Schizosaccharomyces pombe: one gene and its partner. Changing the gene in region 1 together with any one later gene gives a genetic interaction. Each region holds a gene or a part of one and is shown in the gene's direction. Other genes may lie near its edges.

Region 1 (3,760 bases):
AGTCTAATTTGACGACTCCTCGTAATGAAAAAGACAAAGTTCAAATTCAAAGCGGTACGGAGTTTGGCGTGACTCTGGGAACTCCGATTGGAATGCTGGTTCTAAACCAAGATCAGAAACCACACGATTATTCCGATATGGACAACTACCCTCGTCCTTCTCACGCTGATTATACCTACTTGGAGAAATACGGTGTCAAGGCATCTTCGGGTGGTGGTCGATCCAGTGCCCGTGAAACCATTGGACGAGTCGCGGCTGGTGCAATTGCTGAAAAGTATCTCTTAGAAGCTTATGGTGTCGAAATCGTTGCCTTTGTTTCCAGTGTAGGCAAAATAGCCATTCCATTGCACGAAACCGCTTCTTCCGCCATATTGGACCCAGAGGATGATACATTTGAATCTCCTATAACCGCTGAATATCTGAAATTCCTCAATAAAATTACGAGAGAGGAAGTCGATAAAACCACTGTTCGTTGTCCTCATGCTGCGACGGCCGCCAAGATGGCTGAACGTATTACTCGAGCTCGTGATAACCACGATTCCATCGGTGGTACTGTAACCTGTGTGATCCGTAATGTTCCCACCGGTCTTGGTGAACCATGTTTTGACAAACTTGAGGCCAAGCTTGCTCATGCCATGATGAGTATTCCTGCCACCAAGTCTTTTGAAATTGGCTCAGGCCGTGAAGGCTGCAAAGTTGCTGGATCCAAGCATAACGATCTTTTTTACCGAAATGCTGATACTGGCAAGCTTGGTACCTTGACCAATAACAGTGGAGGTGTCCAAGGTGGTATTTCCAATGGCGAAAACGTTTACTTCACCATTGGCTTTAAGTCTCCTGCTACCATCGGCGTAGAACAGTCAACTAGCCGTTACGATGGTAGTGACGGTGTTCTTGCTGCCAAGGGTCGTCATGATCCCTGTGTTGTTCCCCGTGCCATTCCCATCGTTGAAGCCATGGCTGCTCTTGTCGTTATGGATGCTGTCATGATTCAACAAAGTCGTATTGCCTCTCGAAACCTACTCCCCAATGCTCAATAAATTAAAAAAAGTTAAAAATAAGCTAGTTTGGGGGCAAGAATCTCACTTCAATTGAGTTAGCCTACTGGATTATCTTATTTTGATGCGCCAAAAAGAGAGGATTAGATATACCTTTTGTCTCTTAGATTACATATGTACATTTTTTTTGGAGGGTAAATTTAACACAAATTAAGGCATATTTAACAGATACTTGTCAATATAGTGTGTAAGATTATAAATGAATATTTTTAAAAAAAGTAAAAAATTTAATACACAAGAAAAACTAAAGAAGTGTTGCAAAGAGTATAAGACCTTCTCTTCAACTAGCAATTGATGTTTGTTTGTATGCAGATTTTTTTCATGTTTATTACACAGACACCTGCGGTACACAATCTAAATTGGTGACCAAATATAGCTTTTGCCATTCTCTTTTAATCTTGCCATTGATTTTTCTCTCATCTAAGTATTCATACTTACACACTGTGTATGCAATTATGATATATTATACCGGCAGTTTGGTCATGTTGCAAAAAATTTTTTTTGCTAATGCCGTTTATCGGCACATCGTCTATGCTTGTAGATGAAGTAAAGGATTATTATTATGTAAAAAAAAAAATCTTTGGATTTATGGGTTTTACTATCAACGTTTCCATACTTGTGAGAAAAAGTGGTAGTTGTTTTAAAGTAATATTTTGAATAATCGAAATTTGTTATAGAATATTTCTGATGTTCCACACATTTTACGTACCAAAAAACCTCTGTAAGAAAATAGTATTCTATTATGAAGCCTTCTTCTCAGGCGTACTTCTCGTTAGTCCCACCTATGATGAAATAGCAACCATCCCGTCTACTATCTGGAAAAGGAGGATTACGTATAGTAGTGTAATACGGAATAGTGAAAGGTACTTCGCAAAAATGATCATTCCAAAAGTGCTCATCGTCATCCCTCACCAGGTGTCGTGCTACGGTATAGATGTACCTAACCTTTTCCAACCACCAGTATAACGTAGGCTTGATTTTAAACAAGATATTAATCAATTTTGGAGATTGAGGACTACTAAAAATCTACAAGTCTTAAAGAAGAAATAAATTTCAGAGTCATTTAGCTTGGTAGCTTTACGACTATAGCCCCGCCGAAATACGAGTTGCCTAGTCCCCGATAGAGGAAAAGCTCGATTAGTAAATCCGGTAATTCATGTACTTATTGACTATTGAAGCTATTTAAGAGGACTCGAGGAACACTTCCTGATGGGATCAGTGAATAATGAAGAAAAAACTTTAATTGAGCCACAACGTCTTTTACGGAAAAATACTTGGCATCCAGAGGTAGACGATAGCGAAGTTCCTCCTTCTGTCTTTCCTGAATATCCCGTCCACAAGGCCATCCAGAAAACGTCCGATTCATTTCGTAAACGGAACTACAGCGCGGGAGATTATGTAATAGCCCCGTTGGGCGGAGAACGTGAAGGAAGTTCGTTAACTCACTCATGGACTTTTCAACCTGGTAAGCATAACCAGCGTCTTTATTCTGATAATTTTCAAGAGGCTCAGCGCCAGTGGAAGCGCCTGCAAGAATGGGGCGAGGTGAAGGAAACAAAAAAGATAAGAAAGCGGTTTGATCGGTTTTCGGGTCGTAAATACATTAACCACTATGAGATTATAAAAGAACTAGGACGTGGTATGCACGGTAAAGTCAAGCTTGGCCGTGATACCGTTACCCGCGAACTGTTGGCGATCAAGATCATCCCGAAGACGGAACGTCGTCCGAAACTGGGCCGAGCCAATGCTTCCAGTCAAAAGGAAAAAGTTCGTCGCGAAATTGCCATCTTAAAGAAATGTGTCCATCCTAATGTCGTCCGCTTGCGCGAGGTCATTGACGATCCATCCTCAACGAAGGTGTATCTTGTTTTAGAGTACATGAGTGGTGGGGAAGTGCCATGGACAGATTGTGACTCCCCCGTACTCTCGATTAGCGAGGCAAGACAATACTTTCGCGATGTTGTCTTGGGTCTAGAGTATTTACATTACCAAGGCATTATTCATCGAGATATTAAACCCGCCAACCTTCTCCTTAACTCTTCTAATTGTGTCAAAATATCTGATTTTGGTGTTTCGTACATTGCCAACGCTGGCCTGAATGAAGACAACGACGTTGAGCTTGCAAAAACTGTCGGCACTCCTGCTTTTTTCGCCCCTGAATTGTGCTGGACCGATTTGGATCGCCCAAGGCCTAAGATTTCTGAAGCAATAGACGTATGGGCTTTAGGCGTTACTTTGTTTTGCCTTTTGTTTGGTCGTTGTCCATTTAATGCTAGCATGGAGTATGAGCTTTTTGACAAAATCGTCAATGAGCGTCTGAACATCCCTTCTACACCCGACATTGGTGAAGAGGGTCGAGATTTGCTTAAAAGATTATTATGCAAAGATCCTGAACAACGTATAACACTTGTAGAAGTAAAACTTCACCCATGGACATTGGATGGCTTGAAGGATCCTGAAAAATGGTTGCAAAACACTGATCCCAGTACCGTCAGTCGTGTTGAGGTTTCTACAGACGAAGTTGCTTCTGCAATCAGCCTTGTGGGTCGTCTTCGCAGAAAACTTGGTAAGCTGTTTCGTTTCCGCCGTCCAAAAGCGCGAGTGTTTGATTCTTCCTCCTCTGTTCCTTCCGACTCTTCCATTTGTCGGCCTGAGAGCTCTGGTAATTCTTCAATTGGTTTATCCGCGTCCGAGTTGTCCGA
Region 2 (3,428 bases), 370 kb from region 1:
CATTTTGCGACTTGTTATTATCTCTCTCATTCCTATTGCAGCAGGCTTTGGTATGTCAGGTTTCTTTGGTGGTATGGCTTGTTGTTTGGGTCCAGCCTTTGGATTGTGCTGTAAAAAGTTTCCATCTATTTTTGCTGCAATTGCCCACACGATCCAAATTTTCATCTTCATTGCTATTTTTGAAGTCTGCTGGTTCCTTGATGGATGGTCATTACCCAAGACTGTGTTGGCCTTCTGTGCTGTTACTGCAATTCATCGTTTTATCTTCAAAATTTTAACACTATTATGTTTATCTCGTGAGGTCAAACAAGATAGTGCTAATATTTCTTGGTGGAGTGGTAAATGGTATGGCAAAGGATATGGCTATCATGCCTTTACTTTGCCTGCTCGTGAATTTGTCTGTAAAGCCATAGAACTTAATTTGTTTGCTACTGATTTCTTCTTGGGTCACTTATTACTGTTTTTTATGCTTCCTGTGATTTGTATCCCATATATTGATCGTTGGCATTCAGTTCTTCTTTTCTGGTTGCGCCCAAGTCGTCAAATTCGTCCTCCTATTTTCTCTACCAAGCAGAATAGACTGCGGAAACGTATTGTTCGTCGTTATTCAGCCTTGTACTTTTCAATTTTGGTAATATTCCTTATTCTTATTATTGTTCCATTGGCAGCTGGTGCAGAAATCCGCCAAGGATTAACTGCTTCTGAGGCTGTTGCCAAGGGTGCTGTTGGATGGAACCAAACTAACTCTTCAATTGGTAGCGGTATCATTCAACCAAGGGACACGAATTATACTGCTAATTATTCTTTCTGGTACGACAGATACCATTTCGAATTCAATACCACTTACTAGATGGGATTATTAGAAAAATCATTTAAAATGAATTTGAAAAGATGCGCTAGTTCGCTATTATATTACACTGATGTTCTGATGAGCTTTCGTCAAGTATCTCAGCAATTTATTAATTTTATTTGTTACACTCATTTCATTCATACATTTCAGCATGTGCTTGGTCCCATCTCTTCGACTTGAGTTATTGAGCTCTGAAGGATAAAAGCAAAGCTAAAGGGTTAACCGTTTATCATTTTTTACTCATACCATCTTTCTATCTACGTTACATTTGCTATTTCACCATTTACAAGTTTGAGATTGATGAGTTTTGTTACAAGCCTTTTCAGGTTACAGTTTGATGGGCTAGGATTTTATGCATATATATACATTTCTTCATTTATCTATATACAAATGAATAAGAATTCCCATTGGTTCACAAAACTTTTACCTATATTATTGCTGGTCAGTTAATGGATATTTGTTTAAAATATAAGGTGATGTAATTGTGTAAAAGTATTGAAGTAGATTATGATACCGTACATAAATTGATCTTTTGGTTGAATACTTATTATCTAGTGAACGTTTAATTTAGGTTTTTCAGATCAATAGAAAGTTTGAAATAACCACTCTAGTGTGCAATTCCATTTCTCTTTTGTATCACACAAGTGGAAGGCTGAACAACTAATCAACTTAATCGTAAAAGTTATCAGACGCCCTATCCTTGTATTAGTTATGGATATCTGAATGGACTCATGATTACAAGATTACGAGCGTCCTTTCATCCATTTGATATACTAGTTGTCAAAACGATATTAGAAACTATATATGTGTACAAAATTTTATTTTTAACATATCATTTTCATTAAAAATCATCAATTTGAATTTCTTTTTATTTTAATTTTAAATCAGTTTAGTAGTTACCGTGCAGTGCGTAAATATTGAAAATTGAATCTAGGCTCATTTAAAGCGTTTTACTAGCGATAAATATAATAATGAAACATAAAATAACACGCACTAACTTGTTACCGCAGTCGAATGAAATGGAGTGAAAATAGGAAAGAATCCTTTTGTGGTTCGAATACCAATCTGGTTCTTGAGACAAACAAATCTATTAGGTTTTTATATTTTTATAGTAATGGTACAGCTATTCGGTGGGGCTCTTTGTGCTGATTTCCCTCCTAAATTTCTCGATGCTAGCGTTTTGCGTCAGATTCCTGACAACCAAGAGGTGTTTTTGCAAGATTCCAAGGAAAACCTAACAGTGATCATTGAGCTTTTGGAAAAAATTGAGAAGCCATTTGATGGAAGTGTGGCAGCTTACCATTTCAATAGCATTGCATTCGATAATGATGCATCTCAAAGAGTAATTTGGAGAGACAAAAGTCTTGGTGAAGACGACTTTGAGGGCATGAGAAGCGAAAAGGCTAGTGGATCTTCTGTACAAGGTTGTCAGAGGGTCCTTGAAAAAGGAAAGCGAAATCCTGAATCCGCTACCAATGTGGCAATCTTCGTGAATGTGATAACTTTGATTGACTTTCAAACAGATATCGTAATCTCCGTAAATGCTCCTTTACCTAACACTTCCTCAGTTCCCTCTTCTGTTGAAAACATTCCCCCTTCTGATCAAAGCATCGTTCGCGCTGCTCTCGAAACAATACAGCGAGTTACTCGATCTCTTGTACTTGTCGATAAAACAGTATTTGCTTAAAGGATGATGGACATAGGCAAGCAAATTAACTAGCCCACAACACTTAATTAAGATTTTCATCTAGGGAAATACTTTTCAAGTTTTATTTTTCTTTATCCGAAAGGAATTGTTTCTCTTATTTATAAAAACCGGTTATTCCAACTTGTATGAAGGGTTTTAATAAAAACATCTGATACTTGATAACCGATTAGCAATGGTTTTCACTTTTTCTGCTATTATTTTAATTTTCCCATTCTTCCATTGTTAATAGTATAAGTTTCACTGTGTCTTTACAGTTTAATGTTTTATGATTTGAGAGTACAACGTAAAACGCTAGTTTCCAAAGAATAACGGAAATTACAATTTCAAGGTGTTTTGATTGTACAGCTTTTGTCCTTTACACTGCCGCTGTAGGACAGTGGTGATTAAAACAAGTTAATCATAAAGAATTATTAAACATTAAAATACTTTCTAATTGTCCCTAACTCCGTGCAAGTAAAGAACAAATATAGCGAATGAAACAATCTTTATGATTGAAACCTGTAAACGACTGACTAGAAAATACTGAATAAGAATTACCAAAAGATAGAAGATCTCTTCATTGAGAGGAGCTTTTCCACCCTTTGCAATAAAGAAAACAAACATTTAGGATATCATCATACGAAGAAGAACAGAAAAGAAGTAAAAGACAGAAAGTTCATCCCCCAAGACGGGTTCCTTTTCCGGGGAAAGAAGAAAAGGTCGACAGAGGTTCCGCAATGGGGAGTTGAGCATGCGACAGTTGATCAAAAGAGTGATAGTTTTTTACCCAAGACTGGAAGATTGGGTCCACATTTTGAGCCCAGCTTTTTAAGGGGATAGAACCAAGCATGAAAGGAGTACAATACCCCATAACAGCTCCGGATGCATGCC

What was found.
Region 2: of ssp1 (region 1) and mog1, a mutation in one rescues a mutant of the other (synthetic rescue), as found in Schizosaccharomyces pombe (one study listed by BioGRID).

The regions. Positions count from the first base shown.
Region 1 is NC_003421.2:1,876,447-1,880,206, forward strand, and holds the start of ssp1 (calcium/calmodulin-dependent (CaMKK) protein kinase Ssp1), read left to right. Parts: upstream 1-2,000; 5' UTR 2,001-2,267; coding exon 2,268-3,760. Other genes in the region: aro2 (chorismate synthase), read left to right, coding at 1-1,040. UniProt on the Schizosaccharomyces pombe protein: Involved in actin localization and thus in polarized cell growth.
Region 2 is NC_003421.2:2,246,701-2,250,128, reverse strand, and holds mog1 (Ran GTPase-binding protein Mog1), read left to right. Parts: upstream 1-1,923; 5' UTR 1,924-1,964; coding exon 1,965-2,537; 3' UTR 2,538-2,768; downstream 2,769-3,428. Other genes in the region: cell wall and secondary septum 1,6 branched 1,3-beta-glucan synthase catalytic subunit Bgs4, read left to right, coding at 1-850; Golgi rhomboid protease Rbd2, read right to left, coding at 3,214-3,428. UniProt on the Schizosaccharomyces pombe protein: Involved in the Ran-GTPase system for nuclear protein import and poly(A)+ mRNA export. Required for mitosis-to-interphase transition.